Macaca mulatta: one gene and its partners. The protein of the gene in region 6 binds, or shares a complex with, the protein of the main gene of each other region. Links are inferred from orthologs where the notes say so. Each region holds a gene or a part of one and is shown on either strand. Other genes may lie near its edges. The genes, in order: LSM7, SNRPG, PRPF6, PPIH, LSM2, TXNL4A and PRPF4.

The links.
Region 1: TXNL4A (region 6) and LSM7 share a complex: the UniProt entries of both Homo sapiens proteins name them as parts of the precatalytic spliceosome. The link is inferred for Macaca mulatta from reciprocal best matches to the Homo sapiens genes TXNL4A and LSM7.
Region 2: TXNL4A (region 6) and SNRPG share a complex: the UniProt entries of both Homo sapiens proteins name them as parts of the U4/U6-U5 tri-snRNP complex. The link is inferred for Macaca mulatta from reciprocal best matches to the Homo sapiens genes TXNL4A and SNRPG.
Region 3: TXNL4A (region 6) and PRPF6 share a complex: the UniProt entries of both Homo sapiens proteins name them as parts of the U4/U6-U5 tri-snRNP complex. The link is inferred for Macaca mulatta from reciprocal best matches to the Homo sapiens genes TXNL4A and PRPF6.
Region 4: TXNL4A (region 6) and PPIH share a complex: the UniProt entries of both Homo sapiens proteins name them as parts of the U4/U6-U5 tri-snRNP complex. The link is inferred for Macaca mulatta from reciprocal best matches to the Homo sapiens genes TXNL4A and PPIH.
Region 5: TXNL4A (region 6) and LSM2 share a complex: the UniProt entries of both Homo sapiens proteins name them as parts of the precatalytic spliceosome. The link is inferred for Macaca mulatta from reciprocal best matches to the Homo sapiens genes TXNL4A and LSM2.
Region 7: TXNL4A (region 6) and PRPF4 share a complex: the UniProt entries of both Homo sapiens proteins name them as parts of the precatalytic spliceosome. The link is inferred for Macaca mulatta from reciprocal best matches to the Homo sapiens genes TXNL4A and PRPF4.

The regions. Positions count from the first base shown.
Region 1 is NC_133424.1:3,075,559-3,079,604, reverse strand, and holds the start of LSM7 (U6 snRNA-associated Sm-like protein LSm7), read left to right. Parts: upstream 1-1,246; 5' UTR 1,247-1,275; coding exon 1,276-1,281; intron 1,282-1,364; coding exon 1,365-1,455; intron 1,456-1,522; exon of another isoform or gene 1,523-2,611; intron 2,612-3,046; exon of another isoform or gene 3,047-3,130; intron 3,131-3,220; exon of another isoform or gene 3,221-3,642; intron 3,643-4,046. Other genes in the region: SPPL2B (signal peptide peptidase-like 2B), read right to left, coding at 1,057-1,122. UniProt on the Homo sapiens protein: Plays a role in pre-mRNA splicing as component of the U4/U6-U5 tri-snRNP complex that is involved in spliceosome assembly, and as component of the precatalytic spliceosome (spliceosome B complex).
Region 2 is NC_133418.1:54,435,739-54,440,022, forward strand, and holds the start of SNRPG (small nuclear ribonucleoprotein G), read left to right. Parts: upstream 1-1,484; 5' UTR 1,485-1,572; coding exon 1,573-1,604; intron 1,605-1,720; exon of another isoform or gene 1,721-2,051; coding exon of another isoform or gene 2,052-2,059; intron 2,060-3,246; exon of another isoform or gene 3,247-3,347; coding exon of another isoform or gene 3,348-3,394; intron 3,395-4,284. UniProt on the Homo sapiens protein: Plays a role in pre-mRNA splicing as a core component of the spliceosomal U1, U2, U4 and U5 small nuclear ribonucleoproteins (snRNPs), the building blocks of the spliceosome.
Region 3 is NC_133415.1:116,912,815-116,916,314, forward strand, and holds part of PRPF6 (pre-mRNA-processing factor 6), read left to right. Parts: intron 1-1,093; coding exon 1,094-1,213; intron 1,214-2,260; coding exon 2,261-2,437; intron 2,438-2,861; coding exon 2,862-2,995; intron 2,996-3,500. UniProt on the Homo sapiens protein: Involved in pre-mRNA splicing as component of the U4/U6-U5 tri-snRNP complex, one of the building blocks of the spliceosome.
Region 4 is NC_133406.1:198,100,205-198,104,388, reverse strand, and holds the start of PPIH (peptidyl-prolyl cis-trans isomerase H), read left to right. Parts: upstream 1-1,384; 5' UTR 1,385-1,425; coding exon 1,426-1,491; intron 1,492-1,823; coding exon 1,824-1,888; intron 1,889-2,206; coding exon 2,207-2,230; exon of another isoform or gene 2,231-2,323; coding exon of another isoform or gene 2,324-2,349; intron 2,350-2,499; coding exon 2,500-2,544; intron 2,545-3,859; coding exon 3,860-3,902; intron 3,903-4,184. UniProt on the Homo sapiens protein: PPIase that catalyzes the cis-trans isomerization of proline imidic peptide bonds in oligopeptides and may therefore assist protein folding. Participates in pre-mRNA splicing.
Region 5 is NC_133409.1:150,509,299-150,513,464, forward strand, and holds the start of LSM2 (U6 snRNA-associated Sm-like protein LSm2), read left to right. Parts: upstream 1-1,366; 5' UTR 1,367-1,576; coding exon 1,577-1,579; intron 1,580-2,188; coding exon 2,189-2,256; intron 2,257-4,166. UniProt on the Homo sapiens protein: Plays a role in pre-mRNA splicing as component of the U4/U6-U5 tri-snRNP complex that is involved in spliceosome assembly, and as component of the precatalytic spliceosome (spliceosome B complex).
Region 6 is NC_133423.1:1,023,876-1,028,093, reverse strand, and holds the start of TXNL4A (thioredoxin-like protein 4A), read right to left. Parts: upstream 2,801-4,218; 5' UTR 2,747-2,800; coding exon 2,594-2,746; intron 1,098-2,593; exon of another isoform or gene 985-1,097; coding exon of another isoform or gene 949-984; intron 1-948. UniProt on the Homo sapiens protein: Plays a role in pre-mRNA splicing as component of the U5 snRNP and U4/U6-U5 tri-snRNP complexes that are involved in spliceosome assembly, and as component of the precatalytic spliceosome (spliceosome B complex).
Region 7 is NC_133420.1:45,025,925-45,029,424, reverse strand, and holds part of PRPF4 (U4/U6 small nuclear ribonucleoprotein Prp4), read left to right. Parts: intron 1-1,059; exon of another isoform or gene 1,060-1,075; coding exon of another isoform or gene 1,076-1,098; coding exon 1,099-1,157; intron 1,158-1,601; coding exon 1,602-1,725; intron 1,726-3,065; coding exon 3,066-3,155; intron 3,156-3,500. UniProt on the Homo sapiens protein: Plays a role in pre-mRNA splicing as component of the U4/U6-U5 tri-snRNP complex that is involved in spliceosome assembly, and as component of the precatalytic spliceosome (spliceosome B complex).

The DNA of each region.
Region 1 (4,046 bases), on a different chromosome or scaffold from region 6:
TCACAACTGGACGGCACGTTCATCCAGATGCGACATGGACTGACATACTTTGAAAGGGTCACTCCTGCTGTGTCGAGGATGGACTAGGGATGTGGGGGACAAAGGCAGCCACAGCAGGGGGATGGCGGTGGGGCTGGAAGAGTGGAGACTAAGAAGGAGCCCAGTGGCAGCAACGCCTTAAGAGAACTCTGAGAGAGGAGTGAAGGTTAAGGGCCGCATTTGTGAGGCTGCTCCGGGTTCCATTCCCTGAGCCACCAAACTCAGGTAAGAGGGAAGACTTGGAATTAAGAAAATAAAAGATGCAGTTACGACAGTGCCATCTCGTAGACTGTCCCCGCTAGAACCTGACACTCTACATCAAAGGATACACAATGAATATAAGGAAGGCGTGCTGTCCCTAGGCGCTGGTCACCCTGGGTAGCATCTCCAGAATCCACACCATAGTCGACCCCCCTTCTCCAGACGAGCAACCGACGCTCAAAGCAGGGAATTCCCTCGTCCAAGGTCACGGAGTAAAAGATGGAGCGGGGATACGACCCCAGTGCAGGGCTGGGCTCTTGGCCGCTCCAGGATGCTGGCCAGTCACTGGGGGACACGCGGGACGCCTCTGGGTTCCCCCACCGCACCCCCTAGGGTGAGGTTAGCTTAGCACCCGGCCATTCCGCCTAAAGGGAAACTGAGGCTCGGAGCGGGGTGGGCGGCCGCCTGCCCAAGGCCACAGAGCGGGAGAGAGGCGTCCCCCGCGGCGGCTGGAGACCCCGAAACGGACAAGCAGAACCGGGAGATGGAGGGGGCACAAACTTCAGGCCCGGTGGGAAGTGAGGGGCGCTGCAGCGGCGGAGGGCCTCCGAGGCGGGGAAGGGAGAGAAGCCGGGGACAGCCCCGCAAGGTCACGGCCGGGCCCCGGCACCGCCGGCCGACAACGAGGGGACCGCGGATCCCCGAGGCTCGACCCCCCAAGACGGGCCAAGAGGGGTCGTTCCTGCGCGTAGCCTCGGGGCCGAGAGGCCGAAGGGCCGCAGCCTGCGGTGCCGTCGGGACCGGTGCCGCGCTCACCTGGGCCGCGAGGAGCAGAAAGGCCGCCACAAGCCGCGCCAGCGCAGCCGCCGCCACCGCCGCCATCTCGGCCGGTGCCCGCCGCAACCGTCGGCAGATGTTTCCCAGCAACGCCCCGAGACCCCGGGCCACGCATGCGCCGCGCATGCGCGTGGGGGGGGAGGGGAGAGGTCACAGGGCACGGGGCGGTGTCTGCGAAGAGCCGCACGGCGCGACAAGATGGCGGTGAGCGCGCGGCGGAATCCGGAGCCGGGGGGCGTGGGGCTCGGGCCGCGCTCCAGGCCTCATGCGCTCTGCTTTCCCCGCAGGATAAGGAGAAGAAGAAAAAGGAGAGCATCTTGGACTTGTCCAAGTACATCGACAAGACGATCCGGGTGAAGTTTCAGGGAGGACGCGAAGGTGAGGCGGCTCCCGCCGTTGGCACCCCCCCTTTAAAATTTTAAAATAAACTCAGCAAGAGAGGTGATGAGGATGCATGCAGAGGCGCCTCTTTTATTTATTTTTATTTATGTATTTATTTGAGACGCAGTCTCGCTCCGTCGCCCAGTCTGGAGTGCAAGTGGTGCGATCTCAGCTCACTGCAACCTCCGCCTCCCGGGTTCAAGCGATTCTCCTGCCTCAGCCTCCTGCGTGGCTGGGGCTACAGGCGCCACCACTCCTGGTTAATTTTTGTATTTCTAGTAGAGACGGGGTTTCACCATGTTGGCCAGGCTGGTCTCAAACTTCTGACCTCAAGTGATTCGCCCGTCTCGGCCTCCCAAAGTGCTGGGATGACAGGCGTGAGCCGCCGCAGAGGCGCCTCTTTACACGCTTGACGCCGACTACCTTGTGCAGGCTTCCGAATTACGCCGGGAGGTAGGAACTGGTATGGCCATTTTGCAGGCGGGGAAACTGGGGCAAGGAGCGGGAAACAAACGTAACCCAAAGTCACAGTGGCGCAGCCGGTATTGGGATTTCCGGCTTGGCCTCCAGAGCAGTCCTGTGTGTCCAAGGACTGCCCCAGATCCCCACAGATCTCCCGGCTTCTCCTCTTCCTCCCTCTAAGTCAAGGTCTTTCCCGCACAGCAGTGTGGACACATTTGGGGCCGGATTCTCTGGAGTGGGGCCGTCCTGGGGCACTGCAGGGTGCTGAGCAGCATCCCTGGCCTCCACCAAGTTGTGACAACCTAAATAGCCTCAGACATTGCTTAGTGTTCTCTGGGGATAGGATCGCCCCCCGACCCCCAAGCTGTGATTGGGAATCACAGCTACTAAGGTCAGTCTCCACTCAGCGGCCAGAGGCACCTAATGAAAAAGAAATGGAGGCTTCTTGCTCCCTGCTGAAAAGCTCTGAGGCTCCCCGTTGTTTTGGAGTAAAATCCGAATCCATACTTCTGATTATGACTGCAAAGGGCGGCAAAAGCACAAGTTCCACAGGTGCTTGCTCTGGGAAGCCCTCCCTGACCCTGGCGTCAGGCCCCCCATCGTTCTAGGATCCTGGTGGCACCTGTCACCGTTTGCGGTTTCGTGCATGTTAACCTGATGCTTGCCTCTGCCTGCGACTCTTCCATGGAATCTAGTGAAGACAGGGCGAGCTCTCAGAGGGCAGGAAGCATTCGCATGGGCAGTGGGCTGGTGATGCATGCTGCAGCTCTTGGCGGGGCGCAGGGACTCACGCCTGTAACCCCAGCACTTTGGGAGACTGAGGCAGGCGGATCATATGATCAGGAGATCGAGACCAGCCTGACCAACATGGGGTTTTGTGAAACCCCATCTCTACGAAAAATACAAAAAAATTAGCTGGGCGTGGTGGCGCACACCTGTAATCCCAACAACTCAGGAGGCTGAGGCAGGAGAATCTCTTGAACCCAGGAGGCAGAGGTTGCAGTGAGCTGAGATCGCGCCACTGCACTCCAGTCTGGGAGACAGAGCGAGACTCCGTCTAAAAATAAATAAATCACACACACGCACACACACAGCAGAGAAAGGGTTTGCTCCCTGAAGGACTCACCTGATATGGTCAGGCTCACCCAGGGTGTTTCCCTCTAGATTGGCTCAAAGTCAGCTGGTTCAGGGGCTTAAACAGCTGCATAACCTAAGTGCAGGAGTGACGTCATGTCCCCTCAGAGTCACAGGCCCGAGCCCACACCCCGGGGAGGGGAACCTTGGTTAGAGACCTACCTACCTCAGTGCTCACATCTGTCCCCGTGAGGAGGGCTGGCTCACTGGTCAGGCTGGTGCCAAGGACCTGAACCGCTGCGTCTGACCCCATCTCATAGGTGACAAGTTTCATTTTGCAGGGGAGGGACTTGAGCACAGAGAGAGGGAGCCGTGGAGGTAGGAGCTAAAGCCTGTATGCAGGTGGGCAGACCTTCTCTGTAGAAGGCCAGACAGCAAATATCTTCAGCTTTGCAGCCCAGATGGTCTCTTGTCACAACCAGTGAGCTATGCCCGCAGAGCAGGAGAGCCGCCCTGGTCAGTGCCTGAGCGGGCGAGTGTGCTGGTGGGCCAGTGAAACTTTGGCATACAGAGATGAGCGGTGGGCCACTTTCGCCTCTGGTCGTAGTTCGCAGCGCAGAACGGCCATGGACAGGCTCACAGCCCTGCCTTGGGAGAAGATAGGCGGGCAGAATAATGCCTGGGGTGCCTGCTTCCTGAGATTGGTGGGGGGCATGCAGAGGGCAGCACCCTAAGGGGTGTGGGTTGGTGTCTGGAGGAAGCACCTGAAAGATGACAGGGGTAAGAAGGAGGGTAGGGAGCGGGTGGCTGTGGGACGCCCCTCAGTGAGCGCAGAGGCGGAACCGCTCCTGGGCCTGGGCTGGAGGAGCCTGGGGGGAGAGGACGGGAGTCCCGGACAGGGAGGGTGGGCTGGCCTCTGCTGAGGACACGCAGCTCCCCCTTCACCCTTCTCAGTGTCACCAGACACTGCGGAGCAGGATCAGATGGCAGAGGTCACCACCGGGTCAGAGAGCCCTAACCCAAGGTGCCAAGTTGTGACCTAAGGCGGCGAG
Region 2 (4,284 bases), on a different chromosome or scaffold from region 6:
CTTCTATAATCCGTGCATTCTCCTATTTTGGGGTAACATAACTGGGAACAAGTCCGAGGCCACTTTTTACACATCTTGACATGAAAAAGGAATACCTTGTATTAGAGAATGTTTGTGTGCTGCACTTCACGTTTTATATACGGGGCAATGGCACATCAGTGAGTTCTGGAGGTAATGTTTGAAAAATTGCAGAACTGCCAGGCATGCTGGCTCATGCCTGTAATCTCAGCACTCTGGGAGCTGGAGGCAGGCGGATCTCTTAAGGCCAGGAATTCGAGAACAGCCTGGGCAACAAAGCAAGACGTCGTCTCTACAAAAAAAAAAAAAAAAAAAAAAAAAAAAAAAAAAAATTAGCTGGGTGCAGTGGCTTGCGCCTGTAGTCTAAACAACTCAGGAGGCTGAGGTGGGAGGATTGATTGAGGCCAGGGGTTCGAGGTTGCAGTGAGCCATGATCACATCATGCATCCCAGCCTGGGTGACAGAGCAAGACCTCATCTCAAAACAAAAAAAAATTTTTTTTTGCAAGACCCATCAGTCGGAAATAGATTGAAATTCTTGGAGACAGGCCCAGTCACCTTACTCTCCAAATGGTGCAGAGGCTGCTAATTTGCATGTTACCGGAACCCTACTTGGTCTGAAAGTATGCTGTAGGATACCTGCCAAAGAAATATAGAGGCCCGGCTGGGCGCGGGTGGCTCACGCCTGTAATCCTGGCACTTTGGGAGGCCGAGGCGGGCGGATCATGAGGTCAGGAGATCCAGACCATCCCAGCTAACACAGTGAAACCCCATTTTTACTAAAAATACAAAAAATTAGCCGGGCGTGGCGGCGTGTGCCTGTAGTCCCATCTACTCAGGAGGCTGAGGCAGGAGAATGGCGTGAACTCAGGAGGCGGAGCTTGCAGTGAGCCGAGACCGAGCCACTGCACTCCAGCCTGGGGGACAGAGCGAGACTGTCTCAGAAAAAAAAAAGAAATATAGAGGCCCATTCCTCCAGGGATCATTATTTGGTATTTTGGTTTAGATGAAGAAAACAAGCGATACGATCCACAGACATGCGGGATTTGCCGGGTTTGCCCAGAAGTTAGAGAGGGGACTGTTATCTCAGTATTTCAATTTTATTTTTTAAATAGAGGAGGGGGTCTCCCTATGTTGCCCAAGCTGGTCTCGAACTCCTGGGCTCAAGAGATCCAAAGTTCTGGGATTTACGGCGCCAGGCTTTTTTTTTTTTTTTTTTTTTTTTTTTTTTTTTTTTGGCTGTTCCATAGACAAGAACACGGATACTCCATCGTCAGAATACCCGTTATCTCAATTTTGCCCAAGGAAAACCGAATTTAGAAAGGTGCCTAGAGGGCCCACCCCTCTGTCCTGGCCAATAGCTGACGACGCAACCGGAAGCTCAGCAATGACCGAGGCGCTCAGATATCGCGATGTGAAGTGTTAAAAACTGCCAACAATCGATTGGCTAACTAGGTCGATGACGCCAAACGCAAGACGCCGGGCCTACCGCGGGAGCCTGAGGGAAGCCGTGCATTCAGTTCCAAGGCGTCTGTGAGTCCGCGGAGTATACGCCATGAGCAAAGCTCACCCTCCCGAGTTGAAAAAGTAAGTATGTGTGAGAGCCAAACCGAAGTGGTCGCTTCTTTGCGTCCCCCGAGTCCCTTGGTGTTTCAAGCCGAATGGCTTGAGCCGCTTCACCTTATTTCTTCTTCCGGTCCGAGGTCGCCGGCATCCCGGCCAGGCTCCGGCTCATGAGACGTGAAGCCCGCGCAGAGCTCGCGCATTGGCGTGGTTACCGCCGGCAGCCACCGCACCTCCTTCTGGCCGACTAGTCTCTCTGTCCCGCGCTCCGGCCCCTAGTCACCCGGCGCTGTCCCTCGTTCCTTGAAGATCTCCAATGCCAGCTTTTGTTGAACATCTCTAATAGCATCATATTCTAGATAGACGGCTAGAGGGGGAAATTCTCTAAAGGAACTAAGGAGGGGATGGAAGGGAAGTGTTTTTAAAACTACGTGAGGCATCGGAATCCAAAAGCCACTTTAGCCTTAGAGAATGTGTTTGTAGGTGTTTCTTTGAGCTTTTACTTAGAAACCTCATTCTTTTTTGTTGCCTATTTTTACATTAAGCTTGAATGTCATGTGTTATCTTGCTCTGATATTGAAACTATGTAAGAACATTCATTTCTAAAATTAATGTTCTAAAAAATAAAATTTTTTTTAGAACATTAATTTTTTTCTAATCAGAGAAGGCTAATTTTTTTAAGTTTCTTTTACACACCCAGTAAAGACAAACAACTTTAAGGAGGAGAGCCTTAATTTATGTAGGACTCAACGTAAAACTTTAAACTCCTCAAATACTTTTTGACTGGACTTAACAGGTTATGTGTTTCCTCAGTACGTCTCTGTTTTGCTTGTACTCCCTGATGCTGGAATTCTACATGTATTTATTGGATTGCACAGAGGATGCAAAATTTTTACAGGAATCAATTTTTTCTGGTGTAGCATGTGGTTGGCTTTGTGTATAGTTCATTTATTACCAGGCCCCTGGAAGTCAGACATAAGGAAAAGTTCCTATTTAATAATTTTGCGGCCAGTGGCGGTGACTCACGCCTGTAATCCCAGCACTTTGGGAGGCCAAGGTGGGTGGATCACCTGAGGTCAGGAGTTCGAGACCAGCCTGGCCAACATGGTGAAACCCCCCGTCTCTACTAAAAATACAAAAAATTAGCCAGGAATGGTGGCACGCGCCTGTAGTCTCAGCTACTCGGGAGGCTGAGGCAGGAGAATCGCTTGAACCCGGGAAGTGGAGGCTGCAGTGAGTCAAGATCTAGCAATTGCCCTCCAGCCTGGGCAACAAGAGCGAAACTCTGTTTCAAATAATAATAATATTGCATTTAAAGGTATATTTGTATCAAAGCCATCTTTTGTATGAAAACTACTTTCATGTATATTTTAGTTAGGTCTGTTAAGGAATTAATTATTAAAACATAGCCCAACGTTAGAAAAATAGAAGTTAGAAATTATTGTGAAAATTACTCTTTTTATCTGAAAGTTATTTTATTGGTGAGTTGGTGATGTAAGTATCCTCTGGATTCATCAGGGACTGGTGAAATGGTGATTTTTCTTTTTTTAAACAAAAGCACCATTCTCTACTTGTAATCTAAGATTTTATTTGTGATTCATAACATAGTTTTTGAAAATTTCAGAGAAGGAAGCTAGTTTTAATACCTTTCTCTTCTCATCCATAGGTTTCATGAATTGTGAAATCCCGTGAGATCTGCCGTCAAAATGACTTTCAAATTTTTTCTTTCTTTGCTTTCTCACTGATAGCATCTTCTTTTACACCATTATGCCCTCCTTCTGGCTTAGCGTAACTCAGGGGTTCTTAAATGGGGGGTAAGGAATCTGGTGACACCAGGGATGCTGCTAAACATCCTACCGTTATTCGGCTGCCCCCAACAATACAAAATTACCTGGTCCCAAGTGTCATTAGTGCAGAAGTTGAGATACACTGGCTTAACCGAATTCTTCCTTCCACTTCTTAAAATTTGCTGCCACAGTGGTCTTGCCAGTGACAGCTTTAATAATTTATCACAGTATGCAAAACTGAATCTATACTTAAGCCAGCATTCAAACGCCAAACCTTACAGCTGCTAATACTCACGTGTTCTCTTCTCCAGTCAGACTGAACTATTTGTGTTTGCTCTCACTTGCTGTGTGACTTCGAAAAATTGATTTACCTTTTCCAAGCCTAGTTCTCCATCTGTAAAAACGGTAGAAATGACAGACCATAATTGCATGCAAAGTCATTGTAAAGATTGTATAAGATCTTGTGTTATATTTGATATGTTTTATGTATCTTATTAAAATAGTTTTGTTCATCATACTTCATAAATGTGTGTATATATTATATATAATATGTAATATATATTACATATATAATTTTACATATAATATTACATATATATTACTTTTTTTTATATATATACATATATATATATATATATTTTTTTTTTTTTTTTTTTTTTTTTTTTGAGATGGAGTTTCACTCTTAATTCCCAGGCTGGAGTGCAATGGTGCAATCTCGGCTTACCGCAACCCGTGCCTCCCGGGTTCAAGCAATTCTCCTGCCTCAGCCTCCCGAGTAGCTGGGACTACAGGCATGCACCACCACACCCGGCTAATTTTTTTTTTTTTTTTTTTTTTTTTTTTTTTTTTTTTTTTTAGTAGAGACGGGGTTTCTCCATGTTCATGTTCATCAGGCTGGTCTTGAACTCCCGACCTCA
Region 3 (3,500 bases), on a different chromosome or scaffold from region 6:
CGTACCTCTTGGCCCCCGACGCCGTGTGACCACGGGTAAATGTTTCAGAGTGTAGAGCATGAGGTCACACGGGCTGAGGGTGCCCTTACGTGAGTGGACGCATTCAGACAGCCTCGCTGAGCCGGGTTGTCTGAGGGTGCCTGGTTGTCATGAGGTGTGTGTGTGTTTTTTTAAGTACTTGTCTTTATTTTCACATATAGCATCCTAATACTTCATGACATACTTTTTAATAAACTGTAGAATGCTGTATAAACGTCAGTTACTGCAGTGCAGGCTAATGTCATAGAGCGTGCCCTTCCTTGAGCAAACATCATGAGAGGGGCCTGGCCTGGGTTTTACCTTCCGCTCTCAGCTGCCTGTTTGAGATGGCATCACTCCTGTGGGTGACCGCAGCGTCCCCTCCGCCTGCCCGCTCTCTGCTGCCTGTCAGGCGGCTTTCCTTGCCCATCGTTTTTGGGCTGCTTTTCAGGTCTGTGATGTGGTCATCTTGCATGGTCAGTGAGCGGCTGTGCTGATTAGGATGCATTCAGACAGCCCTGGGCACCAGCCCTGGGGAGGCTCCGAGGGCAGAGCCTTCATGTCCACTGGGCTCTGGGCTGTGTGAGCCTCCTCGGCCTGTGGACGCCTTCTCCACATGTCAGTGGCACTCTGGGAGTCCTCTCTCCTGCCCATGTGGGCTCATGAGGACAGAACAGCTGGCTTCCTTTCATCAGGCTCAGGGCAAAGAGCGAGGTTGGGTGTGGTGGGTCTCTATAGGGTGTGAGTGACCCATTCAGGGGCTTTGAGAGGGTGTGGATGGATCCTGGATAAGATGGCCCTGCTCCCACCCCCATTATTGCTCAGTGCTTTGGCAGCCTCCTCGCTGTCCGCGCTGTACTAGAGTGAACATGGACCTGTGTGTTTCCAGGTGAGTCCGGATTCTTGCACTGGAGTCTGCTCTGTCATCTCCTCCCTGGGAAGGGCTTGGGCCGGACTAATCCTGCAGCAGAACAAGGCCTGGCTCAGTTCCTGCCTGCCTGCTTTTGATTAAGTGTGATCAGGCGCTGGTCCCTGTGTTCTGACCCCTCTTGACGCTGCTGTACTTGCCCTCCAGGCCAACCCCAACAGCGAGGAGATCTGGCTGGCGGCCGTGAAGCTGGAGTCCGAGAATGATGAGTACGAGCGGGCCCGGAGGCTGCTGGCCAAGGCGCGGAGCAGCGCCCCCACCGCCCGGGTACGCAGTGGCAGGCAGGGCTGGGCCATCCGGGGTGCGTGGTGTGCACACGTGGGCCCCGCACCTGGCTTGAGTGGTGATGTGAGATGACAGCAGGCAAACGAGACCAGAGCACATTCATATGGCCAGGCATGGTGGCTCACGTCTATAATCTCAGCACACAGCACACTCATCTTTGTGATGTGACTTTAAAACATTCATATGGCCAGGCATGGTGGCTCACGCCTGTAATCTCAGCACACAGCACACTCATCTTTGTGATGTGACTTTAAAACATCCGTGTGGCCGGGCGTGGTGGCTCTCACATCTGTAATCCCATCTCTTTGGGAGGCCAGGGCGGATGGATTACCTGAGGGTGGGAGTTTGAGACCAGCCTGACCAACATGGAGAAACCCTGTCTCTACTAAAAATACAAATTAGCTGGACGTGGTGGCACATGCCTATAATCCCAGCTACTCAGGAGGCTGAGGCAGGAGAATTGCTTGAACCTGGGGGCGGAGGTTGCCATGAGCTGAGATTGCGCCACTACACTCCAGCCTGGGCAGCAAGAGGGAAACTCAACAACAACAACAACAAAACCTGCATGCGGCCGGGCGCGGTGGCTCACACCTGCAATCCCAGCACTTTGGGAGGCCGAGGAGGGTAGATCACGAGGTCAGGAGTTCAACACCAGCCTGACCAACATGGTGAAACCCCGTCTCTACTAAAAATACAAAATTAGCCAGGTGTGGTAGCGTGTGCCTGTAGTCCCAGCTACTCGGGGAGGCTGAGGCAGGAGAATTACTTGAACCTGGGAGGCAGAGCTTGCAGTGAGCCGAGATCGCGCCACTGCACTCCAGCCTGGGTGACAGAGCAAGATTCTATCTCAAAAAAACAAAACAAAAACATACTCATATATTTATCCCCACCTTTTGTGTACACAAACAGGCTATGAAAAGCTTACAAAAGTACCCACAGTGCTGCAGGTAACAGTGTCGAGGACGAGCGTAACACGAAGCACGTGCCTTGGAGCCGATGCCCTGCTGACGGTGCGTGTCTGCCCCACAGGTGTTCATGAAGTCTGTGAAGCTGGAGTGGGTGCAAGACAACATCAGGGCAGCCCAGGATCTGTGCGAGGAGGCCCTGCGGCACTATGAGGACTTCCCCAAGCTGTGGATGATGAAGGGGCAGATCGAGGAGCAGAAGGAGATGATGGAGAACGCGCGGGAAGCCTATAACCAGGGGGTATGTCTGCCTGCACCCTCGGGCTGCAGCTGGCCCGGCATTCACAGAACTGAGCCCCCTGGTGCAGGGCCATTGCCCTTCACCTCTGAGGAGATGTGGAGGGCTGGGGGTTACAGCGAGGGAGCTGTGGGCTCAGGACCCACACCCCGGTCCCCTCACTGAGTTCTGTGCTTTGCCTTGTATGAAGCTGCACACGCTGCTCTCAGAAGTGCAGAGCGTGGCACACCTGAAGTAAAGGCTGGTATGTACAGACCTGTGTGCACAGGTCCACAGCACCACCGCACACTCGTAAACCCACAAATGCAGAGTGGGACACAGGCAGTCCTGAGGTGCTGGCTCGCCCACTGCAGTGAGCAGCTGGCATGGCTGCGTCCCAGTTCTTCATAGACACCACCTGAGCTGCTCTCTCACTTGTCGGCTGCAGTTGAAGAAGTGTCCCCACTCCACACCCCTGTGGCTTTTGCTCTCTCGGCTGGAGGAGAAGATTGGGCAGCTAACTCGAGCCCGGGCCATTTTGGAAAAGTCTCGTCTGAAGAACCCAAAGAACCCTGGGCTGTGGTGAGTCCTGATGAGTGGGGGCAGCCTGGGCTCTTGGCACAGCTTACCCATCAGGTGGGCCGTCCTCACCCAGCTGCTTGTGTGGAGTGACTTGTGCAGTGTTTCCAGGCTCGGGGGCTTGCGAGGCAGTAGGTGCTGGCCACGAAAAATCACGGTCCCTGCCTTGGGAGGGTTCGGCTTAGGTACTGGGACAGGCCTGCAGATGGTTTGATGCAGTTTAGTTTGTGTTCTGATGGAGGGTGCCTGGGAGAGGGAGGGGTTGACGATGGCTGGGACGAGGGAAGGATGGACCCCGGAGAGCTGACTCCACAGAGGAGGTGGCGTGGAGGGCCCTGGAGGTGGGTAGGAGTCTGCGAGGTGCAGGCTCTGTTCATGGAGGTGCTGCATCCAGCTCAGGGTGACGGGGCTGGAGTACTGCACTCTGCAGACAGGCAGCTCCTGGGGGCCTTGTGCGGCCCTGGCTCTCCCAGGCTGGTCTTGCTTGTGCTGGATGCCTTCACCTGCA
Region 4 (4,184 bases), on a different chromosome or scaffold from region 6:
AGACCAAGAGGAGAGGATCAGTAACCAGGAATAAAAATGACCCTTTAAATTGAGACACACTGGATTTTTATATGTAATTCTTGCTTCCTCCGACGACAGAGCTAGAAAAGATGATCAAAGGACCTAGGAAATAATAACTATTATATTAAATGCATGCTGTTATAGCTAATGAGTCTTGCCCAAGTTCCCCTTCTTTCACTAAATTCATTGAATCTATTATATTTACCTACTATGTGCTATTCAGTAGGAGACATTGCAGCTACAGCTGCGAACAGGACTGAGAGAGTCTCTACTTTCATGGAGTTTATATGCTATTAGGGAGGAAGATGTATGTGTGTGTGGCAGGAAATGAGGTGCAGACACATACCATACAAATGTGAAATGGGGGGTGGCATGAAGAAAACAAACCAGTGATCTGAGTGACCAAGGGCTACTTTAGATTAGGTCTAATGTTGCCTCTGAGGAGGTAACATCTGGGGTGAGCCCTGAACTACAAGGAGCATTACTTCCCACACACATAGCCCAACCAAACCCCACCATCACCCCGCCAACCCACATTAAGATCTGGAAGGAATATTTCAGACAGAAGAAACAGCTATTACAAGGCCTTAAAGAAAGGAGGGATCTCAGTGACCTGGAGGAGCAGACAGGTCAGAGCACAGTAACTAAGGGCAAGTGGTACAAGATGAGGTCAGGTAGGTAATAGCCAGATTAATGCACTGGAGGGCTTCCTATGTACAGAATTGGATTTTATTCTAAATATAGGAAGCCAGGAGTTATTTTAAAAATAAATAGGAATCACAAGAGGTATTTTAAAAATAAAAAATAAAAAACTCTAGTTACTCTGTGGGAAACGAATTGGAAATGACCAAACTGGGAGCTTGTGGCAGAACGGAAACATAATCTATTGTCCTGACTTAGAGGAAGGGACAAATATTTACTTAGCAAGCCTTTACGTGCCAAGCTGTTCTAAACGCTGAGGATGAACAAACCAGAGATCCTGCCTTCACGGTGTTCACAGACTAGCGGGCAGAAGACAGACACAGCACGTGTGGCGGTGTAGAGGGCTTGGTTGCAAGAGCCGATAAGGAGGACCCTGGCGACTGCCTAGTCCAAAAGCCCTAGCTAGAGCAAGATCAACTTGTACTGCCCTTAGTACAGCCACGTGAGTGGGGTGACCATCGACCTTAACCAAAAAGATGTCAAGGCTTTCCTCCTCCTCACTCCCGCGTCCCCCGTCTCAGGGAGAGTCTCCCAGCTAGACCCCAGCAGCCTCAGCACACACGGCACGGGGCGACAGCTTCCGGGGGCGGGGCCCGGTCTCTCTCGGCGTCCACCGCGCCTGCTCCCCGGACGAAACCCGCGGACAGGGCTTTAGGTTCGCCGGAATCCCACGCTCCCGACTTCTGCTTCCGGGTCGGAGCCATGGCGGTGGCAAATTCAAGTCCTGTTAACCCCGTGGTGTTCTTTGATGTCAGCATTGGCGGTCAGGTGAGATCCAGGACGCTACCCACACCTGCGCCGAAGGGAAACTGCTCGGGGCTAGCTAGGCAGGCAGAACTCACCCAGAGAGAGCGGACTCGGGAAGCCAGCCAGAAAGCGAAATTGCACCCGAACCTACCGACCTGCAGGGCGGGGAGAAATGAGGAGAAGTCTCCCCAATCCTAGCGCCCCGCTTCTGGAGGAACTGGGCGGTTAGACCAGAGAGGCGGAGGTGGGTGATACCGAGCGGCAGGGTGGTGGGTCAGCCCATCCTGCCCCCAGCTCCGTGAAGCCCTCATGGTCTTGGACTGGGCCTTCTGACAGTCTCCCGCTGATTGCAGGAAGTTGGCCGCATGAAGATCGAGCTCTTTGCAGACGTTGTGCCTAAGACGGCCGAGAACTTTAGGTAAGGACGTGCTCCAGTTCCGCTGGATTAGCTGAGGCAGAAGTCGGGCTCTAGTCAGCCGCCTGAATAGCCTGTCTACCTCTGTCCGTCCGCTCACTGCTCTTGAGACCTGATTCCTCCGTGCATTGCTCTGTCTGGTTGCCGTTTGGATTGTTCCCGTGTTAATTTACGTTGTTAGTCTGTACGTCTCCGTGTTTGGACGTCTGGCTGGCCGATTGGTGGACTTGCTGGCTCCATTGTTTATTCTTTCCCGTCTTTAGAGGCGGTCACGACTGTGATGTCATAGTGATTGAATTGTTCACTTTTTGTCCCTTTCAGGCAGTTCTGCACCGGAGAATTCAGGTCAGTTTCAGATGTGTTTGACTTCTTTGCCTGCTCCAGAAGGGTGTTCTGGGGCTGCGGTGAGGGTATCGGTGAACCAGCTGCTGGCCTTGAATGATTGCTGGTGACAGTGATAGAAGGTAATGCCCCAAGGGTCTGTCCCTAGTTTATTTGCCTTCTTTATGTCTGTCAACCATCTTTAGGAGAGTCCTTTTGGCTCCAGTGCATGGTAAACTGGAAAGGCCTTGTGCTACCTGCTATCACTCCAAGTCTCTTTCTTTTTGTTATAGAAAAGATGGGGTTCCAATAGGATACAAAGGAAGCACCTTCCACAGGTAAGGCTTTTGGCAAGCCATCCTAGAGTCTTTCAGAAATATTTCCTGGGGGATTAGGCTCTTTAGAGGAAAATAAAACCAGAGGTAATTCTTACATTTCTTAAGAAGAAATGTTTTTGTGGACTCAATAACTGAAGATTTATTAAATATTCTAACTCTACTTATACTCTCCCACTTCTTATGTCTTTAAAACAGAAACTACTCATCTTTACAATATCCTGTCTTTTTCATGCACTTGTTTGTGCAAATGCAGATTTTTAAAGAAGTACACTTGTAATCCTAAAGTGCATATAATATATCCTGCTGGTTGCTATTTATAACTAATTCCTAAAATGATCATATATGATTGTCCAAGGATAATCATATTTCCTGGGGAGTGGAGTATGGCAACACTTAGTCTCATTTCAATATAGAATCTTTCTCATGGCCTCACTGTGGTTAGTAACAATGTTAGCACATAATTATATCACAGCTTTAGAACTGTGGGTCTCTAATCCCCAGTAAGACTCCTGTGAAGTGGTATGTGTGATCTGCATTCTACAGAGGAGGAAACTGAGGATAACAAAGGTTAAGGACCCTCCCTAGGGGTAATAGCTAACAATTGTTAAGCCCTTACATGTGTAGCAGTACCTTTCACATAAATTCTCTGTAGTTCTTTGCCCCAAATTTACATCAAATCCTTGATCTGCCTTTTGCTTTGGCAAGTAATGTGGTCATTCTTCCTGCAGGCTTTCAGCCCCTTCTTCTTGTTACTGTTCAGGTACCAGATCATGCACTTGATCAACTCTAACATGCCCTAATTTATAACTAAAATCCTTTTTTATGGTTAATTATCCTTTCAGCTTAATCATTCCAGGAAAAGAATAATCTTCTTTTTTTGTTGTTTTGGTTTTTGGTTTTTGGTTTTTTTTTGAGACAGAGTCCCGCTCTGTCACCCAGGCTAGAGTGCAGTGGCATGATCTTGGCTCACTGCAACCTCCGCCTTCTGGGTTCAAGCAATTCTTTTGCCTCAGCCTCCCAAGTAGCCGGGAATACAGGCATGTGCCACCACGACTGGCTAATTTTTGTATTTTTAGTAGAGATGGGGTTTTGCCATGTTGGCCAGGCTGGTCTCAAACTCCTGGCCTCATGTGATCTGCCTGCCTCGGCCTCCCAAACTGCTGGGATTACAGGCGTGAGTCACCGCACCCAGCTAAGAATGGTGATTTTATAATAGCCAAAGTTATAGTGTATTTTGAAATCAATGTTAATCTAATACAATAATAACAAAGTCTCCATAAAATCTTCTCTCAGTATTCTTTGCTCTCTGTTTCAGGGTCATAAAGGATTTCATGATTCAGGGTGGAGATTTTGTTAATGTAAGTACTATTCCTTTTCTATCAAAGACCTGTAGTTTTAGTTTTTATTATCGTTGCAATTGCTGTTTTTACTACAGAGACCCAGTCTTAAGGCTTGAGAACAATAGCCAGGTTTGATGGGGGTGTTGGAGAGAATGGTGATGGGGAAGTTCTTGGAAGTGGCTAGGTACAACTGACTGTAGATAACAGACTTTAGCACTTTGATTGAGGCATTAACTTCCATGGTCCAAATCTCAGCCTTTTTGAGCCAGAAATTGGACTTTTTAAGAATACCCTGTAGAT
Region 5 (4,166 bases), on a different chromosome or scaffold from region 6:
GGACTCCTCAACATTTTTTTGTTTTTTATAATTTTCTTTTTTATAGACAGAGTCTTGCCCAGGCTGGAATGCAGTGGGGAGATCGTAGCTCACTGTAACTCTTGGGTTCAAATGATCCTCCTGCCTCAGCCTCCCAAAATGCTGGGATTTACAAGCCTCAACATTTTGTTGTTGTTGTTGTTTTGAGACAAGAGTTTCACTGTTGTTGCCCAGGCTGGAGTACAATGGCACGATCTCCACTCACTGCAACTTATACCTCCCGGGTTTACAGGCGCGTGCCACCACACCTGGCTAATTTTTGGGTTTTTAGTAGAGACAGGATTTCGCCATGTTGGCCAGGCTGGTCTAGAACTCCTGACCTCAGGTGATCCATTTGCCTTGGCCTCCCAAAGTGCGGGATTATAGGCGTCAGCCACTGCGCCCGGTCAATTTTTTTTTTTTTTTTTTTTTTTAAGACGGAGTCTCTCTCTGTCACCCAGGCTGGAGTGCGGTGGCCGGATCTCAGCTCACTGCAAGCTCCGCCTCCCGGGTTCACGCCATTCTCCTGCCTCAGCCTCCCGAGTAGCTGGGACTACAGGCACCCGCCACCTCGCCCGGCTAGTTTTTTGTATTTTTTAGTAGAGACGGGGTTTCACCGTGTTAGCCAGGATGGTCTCGATCTCCTGACCTCGTGATCCGCCCGTCTCGGCCTCCCAAAGTGCTGGGATTACAGGCGTGAGCCACCGCGCCCGGCCAATTTTTTTTTTTTTTTTGAGACGAGTCTCGCTCTGTCGCCCAGGCTGCAGTGCAGTGGCATGATCTTGGCTCCCTGCAACCTCCACCTCCCGGGTTCACGCAATTCTCCTTCCTCAGCCTCCCGAGTAGCTGGGATTACAGGCGCCCGCGACCACGCCTGGCTAATTTTTTTTGTATTTTTAGTGAAGACGGGACTTCACCATGTTGGCTAGCCTGGTCTCGAACTCCTGACCTCACACAATCCATCCACCTTGGCCTCTCAGAGTGCTGGGATTGAAGGCGTGAGCCACCGCCCTCGGCCTTTTTTTTTTTTATCAGCTGAATTTAAGATTAAAAACATTTTTTAATTTTATTTTTTGAATTTTATGTTTTTACTTTAACAAATATAGAAAAGTGCACACTTCATAATCTTCACAAACTCCCCACAATTCTCGATAGGATGTGTGTAGAGGGCACGAACACATCACGCTGTGGACGGCAGGGTTATGGAAAACAAAACCTTTTGAGCTCAGACGCCGAGTGCCTCCACCCGCCTAGCAGCCCAGGCTAGGGTCCGCGCCTGCGCAATGGGAGCCGGCCGGCCCTGGAAGAAGTCGGAACGAAGGAAACCCCGCCCCTTTCCCGGCTTCCTCCTCCCCTCGGTTTTACCCAGCTTGCGCTCCCCAGCCGCAAGTCGGCCGCGCTTTACCCTTCAGCGCTTGGAGGGTTCTGCGTCCCTTCCCGCTGCGCCTGCGCGGTCCCGCCTCGCCCCACGCGCGGGCTCGCGCTTCGGTTCTCCCAGACCTGGTCTCAGCATCCGGCTCTTTTCTCGCTCCGGCCCGCTGCCCGCTGCGCCAGCACCATGGTGGGTACCGTGACGTCAAAAGGGGTCGCCCTCGGGGATCTCGGACGGTTGGGGCAGGGGGGTCTGGCCTTTGTCCCCCTAGGCTGGAGTTAGGTCCGGAGTTTTTATCTTCATCGTTAGTCCTGTTCCTCAAGTTCGTTGAGGAGACACCTGAGAGCAAATGGGATTTTTTTTTTCCATGATGAGGAAAAAAACCCCAACCCTGAGAGAGATTCAGTGGGGACAGCGGGAGACGGAAAAGTTAGACCTTAGAGCACTTCTCTGCCAGGCAAGCTTCGGCAGGGTGCGGGTGGGATGTTTTCTGTAATTCATTGAAAGGAGTGGGCAGGTACCCGAGAAAGGTGGTCGATTGAGAGAGCACACTGGGGAGGCCGAGGTATGCAGGGCAGAGCCTCTCTGGGACTTTAAGTGATGGGCTCAATGCAGTGTGCAGAATAATTTGGGCTCCAGCCTTTCACCTCTCAACCAATTATTCTTTCCTGTGAAATTTTGAGAACTGTTAGGGATGCAATGGGGTTCACAATACCGGTATTTGGTAATACTGTCAAGGGACACTCCTCCCTACCATGTTCCTTCCCACATGATGGTTTTCCCCCTCTCTCCCAATAGCTCTTCTATTCTTTTTTCAAGTCCCTTGTGGGCAAGGATGTGGTCGTGGAACTCAAGAATGACCTGAGGTAGGTACCTGTTCCAACAAGTCTGTTGGGGGTGGGTGTGCCCAGGGCCCTGGAACCTCTTTAATTTGAGAAATATTTGAGGGCTGGGTGAGGTGGAATATGTACAGAAGAAATAAATGGCCGGGTGCGGTGGCTCACGCCTGTAATCTCAGCACTTTGGGAGGCTGAGGTGGGCGGATCACGAGGTCAGGAGATCAAGACCATCCTGGCTAACACGGTGAAACCCTGTCTCTACTAAAAATACAAAAAATTAGCCAGGCATGGTGGCAGGCCCCTGTAGTCCCAGCTACTTTGGAGGCTGAGGCAGGAGAATGGCGTGAACCTGGGAGGCAGAGCTTGCAGTGAGCCCAGATCACGCCACTGCACTCCAGCCTGGGTGACAGAGCGAGGCTCTGTCTCAAACAAACAAAAGAAATAAATGGGTGGGGTGCAGTGGCTCACGCCTGTAATCCGAGCACTTTGGGAGACTGAGGAGGGAGGATTGCTTGAGCCCAGGAGTTTGAGGCTGCAGTGAGCAGTGATTACTCCATTGCACTCTAGCCAGGGCAATAGAGCAAGACCCCATCTCTAAGACAAATTTTAAAATTTAACAATAAATAAATGCCTTGTGCCTTAAATTTACAGATAAGCTTGGGGATTGTATTGTGTATTGGAAAACAATACAAAGCAATATACAGTTTAAAGAGTAAATACTGGTCAGGTGTGGTGGCTCATGGGCTGGACGTGTGGCTCATGCCTGTAATCCCAGCACTTTGGGAGGCCGAGGTGGGTGAATCACGAGGTCAGGAGTTCAAGACCAGTCTGGCCAAGATGGTGAAACCCCGTCTCTACTAAAAATACAAAAATTAGCCAGGCATGGTGGCAGGTGCCTGTAATCCCAGCTACTTGGGAGGCTGAGGCAGGAAAATCGCTTGAACCTGGGTGGCAGAGGTTGCAGTGAGCTGAGATTACACCACTGCACTCCAGCCTGGGTGACAGAGTGAGACTCTGTCTCAAAAAAAATAAATAAAGAGTAAGTACTAGGCTGGCCATGGTGGCTCACACCTGTAATCTCAGCACTTTGGGAGGCTGAGGCAGGAGGATCACTTGAGTCCAGGATGTCGAGACTAGCCTGGGCAACATAGAACCATTTCTATAAAAGATTAGCCAGATGTGGTTTACATGCCTGTAGTCCCAGCTATTCGGGAGACTGAGGTGGGAGGATCACTTGAACCCAGGAGGTCGAGGCTGCAGTGAGCCATGATTGTACCACTTTACTCCAGCCTGGGTGACAGAGGAAGACTGTCTCAAAAAAGAACAGGCCAGGCCAGGCGCAGTGGCTCACGCCTGTAATCCCAGCACTTTCGGAGGCCGAGGTGGGCGGATCACGAGGTCAGGAGATTGAGACCATCCTGCCTAACATGGTGAAACCCCATCTCTACTAAAAATACAAAAAATTAGCCTGGTGTGGTGGCGGGCGCCTGTAGTTCCAGCTACTTGGGAGGCTGAGGCAGGAGAATGGCATGAACCCAGGAGGTGGAGCTTGCAGTGAGCCAAGATGGCACCACTGCACTCCAGCCTGGGCGACCAGAGCGAGACTCCATCTCAAAAAAATAAACAAAAAAACAGAACAGGCCATAGGCTGGGCATGGTGGCTCATGCCTGTAATCCCAGCACTTTGGGAGGCTGAGGTGGGTGGATCACAAGGTCAAGAGATTGAGACCAGCCTGGCCAACATGGTGAAACCTACGTATTAGATATGCTACTGTGTATCTAATACCTAGTATAGGCCAGTTGTATGATAGGTGCTTAAGGAAAGAAAAATAATATCTGAAGACCTATTGACTAAGCACTATTCTGAATACATTTATTGATTGATTTCTCAAACACTCCTTAGTAATATGTACTATTGCTGTTATACATATGAGGAA
Region 6 (4,218 bases):
TGTTTCCAGACTAACTTTCTTCCTGAAGTTCACAGCTCAGCTCTAACCCAGCATGAGGCCAGTGGGCCTTGTGGAAGCAGCAGATCAATACAACACATCCAGGAAAAAATCGTATCAAGTCCAGCCGAACATCTGCAACTGTTACTCACTTTAAAACAGCTGGGACATCGACAGGACTCTTAACAAGATAAGGAAGATTCTCCATTATCTGCCATTTCTGCACAGGGAAATTTTTAAATAGTTATATTGTTCTTTATACTAAAATCTTACATTTCAAAAATTTCTGTTGAGTTTCCCCAAAAGAGCTTCCAGAATTAGAAAGTCATATTTTGCCCATATACTAAGAAGAAAATAAAACACGAATAGTCTTTTAATGCATTTCAGGTTTGCACTTATTTTTGGAGACAGGGTCTCACTCCTGTTGCCCAGGCTGGAGTTCAGTGGTATAATCATGGCTCACTGCAGCCTTGACTTCCCGGGCTCAGGTGATTCTCCCACCTCAGCCTCCCAAGTAGCTGGGACTACAGGCATGTGCCACCACGTCTGGCATTTGTACTTTTAGTAGAGAACGGGTTTCACCATATTGTCCAGGCTGGTCTCGAATTCCTGGGCTCAAGTGATCTGCCTACACTAGCCTCCCAACCAAAGTGCTGGGATTACAGATATGAACCACCGTGCCTGGCCTAGGTTTGCGCTTTTAATAATTATACTATAATATTTGCATTAAAAGTTTATTAATAAAGCAATCCAAATTTTTGGACAGAAACAAAAATCAAACTATTTTAAAAGACCAAAAAAAAAAAAAAAATACCCCAAAGTGAGCCCATTTCAACTGTCCTTAAGTGTGTGTCCACTAGTGATACAGTGATTCATTCTGTAATAACAAAGAAATCGGACATAAAGGAATTGGAAAAAAAGAGCAAATCTGGCAAAGACCCTAACACTTACATTAACACATAAAATCTGTTTCCTAGCTAAGAGCATCTTGCTGAGCTCTGCCTGGATGTGATGAGACAAAGGCCCTCACATCGCCAGCCATCCTAGCCTCGAGCTGCCGGCAGCAGGATCTGAACACCAGCTGATGTTTATGCCACCACCTGCAAGGTAGAACAGTGAAAGATTCTAGAACTCGTAACTCAAAGTCAGTGATTTACAAGCAGTGATTTACTTATTGGGAAACTGCTCTTCGTCAATTCTTCGCTGGATTTCCAGTATCTGCCCTTGTCCACTACAAGTCAAGCAATGAAAAGCTGATGTGCTGGCACTGCCTCACTCATCATCTCTAATCCCTGGCTGGCAGAAGCCCCAGTGTGAGAGAACTGCTGCTCTCCTGATTCCCTAGGCAGCTCCTCAAGTCCTCAGTGTCCTGCTGTCCAAGAGGAAGAGGCTGGGAGATGGCTGGTAATAAAGCACTCCGCCTCTGTCCCTGACCCCCATGGAAGGGTTTCTGAGTGTGTGGTTCAAGGTCAGGTCACATCAGAATTCCCTGAGGGGCTTCTTTAAAAAGCCATTGCTGGACTTCACCCCACACCCATAGACTCAGAATCACAGATGCATTTTAGTAAGCACTCCAAGAGATTCTTGTAATAACTAAAATATAACAACAGTTCCTAACATCACACCTCTCCTACTAAATAAGAAATAGCAAGAATTAATAAATGGCAGGCCAGACAGTCTTTCCTTTCCTCAATATAAAATGTCTTTATATCTGTTACTCTTTACTCAAAGGAGTTATTTTAACCCAGCCTACTTTAGCATCTGTGAAAGAAAAGATAGCTTCAATGTTACTTTTACTCTTCATCAAAATGAATAACCGCTCAAATTACTTACGGAAAATTAATATGGCAAATATTTTATTAACACCCTAGTATTTGTGCCCTTTGCCCTATTGCTACAGCTGCAAAACCTAAATAAACGCCATCCTAAAATTGCTGTGAGGAACCACAGAAAAAGAATGAAACCTGGTTATAGTGTCCCACAACTTTTATTGTCAGCAAGTAAGTGCCAAGGCCACTCAATGTACTAATATTAGAAATTCAGAAAACTAGTTCCAACAAAGCATAGTTCTATTTTCTCCCGATGTTTTCTGCATCTTAATCACTCTAAGCTATAAATCACATGACTTACAAAAAGCGCGGTGGAAGAAAACACCAACAGAAAAACAGGATTTCTTATGCTATTAACATGAAAGTTCTGCTTTACACATACAACAAACAAACAGGGCACCAGAAAAGGGCATCCTTTTAAATTAAGGATCTGCGCTCTCAAAACCTGCAAGTGTTACTTTGTTCACTGCACTGTAAGATTGGGAAAAACGCCTTACCAACAGAAATAATGAATTCCTTCGAGGGGAGGGGGATCATAAACCCTTTAAAACGTGAACAACTACAGGAGCTCCCTGCAGAAAAAGGCGCGAAACGCCGGCACAGTCCCCGAGAGCGCTCGCCCGCAGCGCGGGAAGGAATCGCCCGGACAACCGCGCCGCGGCCCCTCCTCGGGGAACGGCTCGCGCCCCCAGGCGAGGCCGGCGGGGCAGAGGCGCGGGGCCGCTGCGGAAGCACAGCCAGCAGGGCGGGAGGGCCCGGCGCGCTACCTTCTCGGCGATGCTGTATAGGACCTCGTCCATCTTCATGCAGGTGGGGTCCCAGTCGTGGCCGAAGCGGATGACGACCACGCGGTCCTCCTCGGAGAGAATGGCCTGGTCCACCTGCCAGCCGTTGTGCAGGTGCGGGAGCATGTACGACATGGCGACCCGCGCGCTCGCCGCCGCCCGAGGCCGGGCGCCAGGGAGGGCCCAGCGAGGTGGTGGGCTCAGCCGGCCCCTCACTCCGCGGCCCCCGCCGCCCCCGGGCCCACAGCCGAAACCCGGTCCCACCCACACCCGCAAGCTCCGCTGGCACTGCCGCCGGGCGGAACCTCTGGGCGCGCACGCACCGACGCCGTGCGTGCTGACGTCATGCGCACGGGCTGGCGCCGTGCGTGCTGACGTCACGCGCGTACAGACGCCGCGCTAGCTTGTCGTTGGCCGGCGGGAGCGGCGGCGACCTGGCCACGGTGGAGCGCGGTTGGTGCCCTCCTAGCCGGCGTCGGAGTGGGGGTTCCTCCCCAGCGTCCAGGCGGCCTGGTGGTCCTGAGAAGCCCCGGGCTCGCCGTGCCCTGCCCCGACGCACCCGCCCCGAGGCCGCCCGCCGCCGCCCGGGCTGTCCTCCAGCCACGGATGGGGACGTCTTCAGAAAGGCCCGGCATGCCCGGCACTGCGGCTCGTTTTTTTCCTTTCTGGTGTCTGTTTCGGGTCATCGTTTGTGCTGTGTGTTAGCGAGACGGTTCGTGTGTGTCATTTGTGAAACTTGACCATAAAAATGTGTCGTTGTTGCCATACCCAGCCACGGCAGAGCCGAGCAGCGGGGTGGGGGGAAGCACTGGGCAGGCCGTCCTTGAGGAATGTCACCGTCAGGCCGGCTGCTGAGCTGCCTGTTGTAACCCGAAACCAGAGTTTTTGTCTTTTTATAAAGAAAAAAAATTTTTTTTGAGACGTTGTCTCGTTCTGTCGCGCAGGCTGGAGTGCAGTGGCGTGATCTCGGCCCACTGCAGCCCCCGCCTCCCGGGTTCAAGCGCTTCTCCTGCCTCAGCCTCCCCGTAAGCTGGGACTACAGGCGCCAGCCCGGCTAGTTTTTTTGTACTTAGTAGAGACGGGGTTTAACCATGTTGGCCAGGCTGGTTTCGAACCCCTGACCTCAAGTGATCCGCCCGCTTCGGCCTCCCAAAGCGCTGAAATTACTGGAGGAAGCCACCGCGCCCGACCTGAAGCCAGTTTTATTGCATAGCTTCAGCATAACTTGCACCTCCAGGACTGATCTGGCTCCCCCGGCTTCGCTCCCCAGACCCTTACTGGTGCCTATGAACTTTCTCCAAGAGAAATAATATTTCTCTTTTTAAAATAAAACCTCTAATCTCTGTTCTTCTGAGAGAGCACTTTGGGTTCATGTTAGAGACTCCCCCTGGTTTGCAAACTGACATTGACAGTAAAACTCTTGTCTACTATCCAGCCATCCTGGTGGTCCTTTGGATGACAAATTGACAACAAATCATGCCCGGGCGCGGTGGCTCAGGCCTGTAATCCCGGCACTTTGGGAAGCCGAGGCCGGTGGATCGCCTGTGGTCGGGAGTTTAAGACCAGTCTGACCAACATGGTGAAACCCCGTCTCTACTAAAAATACA
Region 7 (3,500 bases), on a different chromosome or scaffold from region 6:
CATTCCTGCTGTACCTACTTCACAGGTCTGTTAGAAAGATCATCTGAGATAATAGATATAAAAGTAATTTGTTGAAAATTTTCCAAAATTTTCCAAAAATTAGGCTGGCCTAAATAAAGTTTAAGGCCAGCCAGGCAGGGTGGCTCACGCTTGTAATCCCAGCACTTCAGAAGGCCGAGGTGGGAGGATCACTTGAGCCCAGGAGTTTGAGACCAGCCTGGGCAGCATAGTGAGACCCTGTCTCTACACATTTTTTTTTTTCTTTTGAGACGGAGTCTCATACTGTCGCCCAGGCTGGAGTGCAGTGGCACGATCTCAGCTCACTTCATGCTCCGCTTCCTGGGTTCATGCCATTCTCCTGCCTGAGCCTCCCAAGCAGCTGGGACTACAGGCGCCCACCACCATGCCCGGCTAATTTTTTGTGTTTTTAGTAAAGACAGCATTTCACTGTGTTAGCCAAGAGGGATTCAATCTCCTGACTTGTGATCTGCCTGCCTCGGCCTCCCAAAGTGCTGGGATTACAGGCGTGAGCCACTGTACCTGGCCCATAAAATTTTTAAAAATTTATTTAATTTTTTAAAGGTTAGCCAGGTGTGGTGGCATGCGCCTATTAGTCCCAGCTACTCAGGAGGCTGAGTGATAGAATTGCTTGAGCCTGGGAGGTTGAGGCTGCAGTGAACTGTGATCATGCTACTGCACTCCAGCCTAGGTGACAGAGTGACACCCTTTCTCAAAAAAAAATTTAAATACTTTGTAATCAGCAAAATACTGTTCATATTTAAGGATAGTATCACTATTAATATTAGTATTATTGGATAGTTTAATTTGCCCCACCTTCCCTCACAAGTGGATCCAAAAGTTAAGGAAAATGGCTACTGGTGTAGTGTTAATTATAGTCCAGTAAAAGCCTCTAGTTGCGTGCAGGCTGGAGGTAGCTTTTTCTTCTATAACCCTTCCAACTATAAGGCTTTTATGTTTCTGTCAGCCATTGTAAAGTTTGTTGGGGTTGAGAAGAGATTGTCCTTTAGTAATATTACCAAGGTACCTTTTCCTTCCCAGACCAACCCTGGCTGAGATGCTTTCCTTTGTATTTGATAGGAGTGGGCTTTGCAAGCTCTGGTCTGTTCCTGATTGCAACCTCCTTCACACTCTTCGAGGTAAGTTAGAGTCTTATCTAAATCTCAGTCTTTTTCCCAGTGTGAACTCAGTTACACCGTAAACTCTGCTTGACACTCAGACCCCATACACACAGCATTAATTCTTGATTTGATTTGACTTGGTTTTCTCTGGCTGCAAGACTGGACTATCACAACTTCATACACATCCACTTTTCTGTCATGTCCAGTCACACTCTGGCATTTTGTAATCTCTAAACCAAAACCACAATGGGTTTTTTTTTTGTTTTGCTTTTTTAAAAAATATAATTTAAATGGTAGCTTAAAATAGTTCATGTTTTAATAGTTGAATAGTCACTTTCATACTCTCTATGTCCACATGTTCCCTAGTATATACTTACCTGTGATGTTCATCATAGTCTGTATTTGTACACAGGTTATAAAGAGGCAGGAACCTTTTAACTTGGATCTCTTACACTCCTTTAGGGCATAACACAAATGTAGGAGCAATTGTATTCCATCCCAAATCTACTGTCTCCTTGGACCAAAAAGATGTCAACCTGGCCTCTTGTGCGGCTGATGGCTCTGTGAAGCTTTGGAGTCTCGACAGGTGAATATCACTGTTCTGCGGCCCACACTGCCATCACTAAAGAAGATGTTTGATTGGTTGGTCCCCAGGACCTCAGGTTAACAATCTGGCATTTAGGCCATGCACAGTGGTTCACACCTTAAGGCTGAGGCAGGAGAATTGCTTAAACCTGGGAGGTGAAGGTTGTGGTGAGCTAAGATCGCACCACTGCACTCCAGCCTGGGCGACAGAGCAAGACTCTGTCTTGAAAGAAAAAAAAATCTGGCATTTAACCCCCAAGATGGTTTAAGAGTCAAGGTAACTTAGTGTGAAAATGAAGTAAGTGGAAGATTTCATTCTTAGGCCTTTTCTTACTAAAGGAGTTACGTCAGTTTTTTCTTACCTGTTAACTTTGGATCTTGATTTTTGCCTGTAGCCTAGTGACCACTATTTCCTGGCTCCATTTATTCCAGAAAGATCCAGGCTACCTCCTACATGATTAACAATGAACTAAAGATAATATTCTTGGCAATTCATTGGTTCTTAGCAAACAGCCACAGGGGAGAGGAAAGTGAGGTTCTGTCTAGCAGTATTACCAGGGAGATGTCTCCTCCCAGTAGCGTCATCCTTTACCTAGAATGTATTTTCCAACTACAACAGTTTTTTAACATGTGTTTATGTGATTGTTTTCAAAAAAAAAAAAAAAACTTTGGAAGCACCCCGTTGGCCAAAAGACATCTGAATTTAATTGCTTAGTTTTCTTTCTTTGGGAAAACACATGAAGGTTTTTACTTGAGAATTTTTATAAGAGCTAATTAATGTCTTCATTCCTCACCAGGCAGGGTCTGACTTACGAGCACAGCGAGTTTTAATTGGCTTTGGTAATACTTAGCAATATTTATTCCCTTCGGGCTTTGGCTTGTTCTGTGTATGCACATTGACAAAGTTCCCTTTTTAATTACCCTCCTTAGAGTTCATGTTTATTTCCTTTTGCTGATGTTTCAGATCTTTTGGTGGTTGCTGGATTGTAGAATTTAATAGCCACCAAAAGGAGACTAAGCCTCATCTCTAGTTAGGAGTTCCTTTTTCATTTGGATCTTAGAACAGGCCTAAATTTGAAAAAGGTTTATCTGTAATCCTGTACCAAAACTGTGTGATTTCTGTGTCCTTATGTCTCTTCCAAAGCATGTTTTCTTTCTAGAATTCAGGTACTCCTTTGGTACAGAATGACTATTTTGCTTATTGGGCCGAAGTATTTTACAAGTGTAGTTACAATTTAGCCTCTCATGTTGTAAAGAATGGGTATAGCTGCACAAAAGGTAATCAGTTTTGGGAATATTTATATGTCTATAAAATTGTTTATATGTTTGGTTCTTTTCCAGTGATGAACCAGTGGCAGATATTGAAGGCCATACAGTGCGTGTGGCCCGGGTAATGTGGCATCCATCAGGACGTTTCCTGGGCACCACCTGGTGAGCCATCCTGTTACTGTTTTATCCATATAGGCCTGTGGCATCTTCTTAACTCTTTATGGCTATGTGCCAGGTAAATTTTTAGAGCAGAGATCTTTAGGTAGGATTTTCTTGGGCTGCAGAGAATTGGAATCAGAGGAGAATGTTTAATATAGTGAGGGCTAAGTATATTTGCCTTTTTTTTTTTTTTTTTTTTTTTGAGGCAGAGTCTCACTCTGTCACCCAGGCTAGAGTGCAGTGGCGCGATCTCAGCTCACTGCAACCTTTGCCTCCTGGGTTCAAGCGATTCTCCTGCCTCGACCTCCCTAGTAGCTGGGACTACAGGCACGTGCCACCACGCCCAGC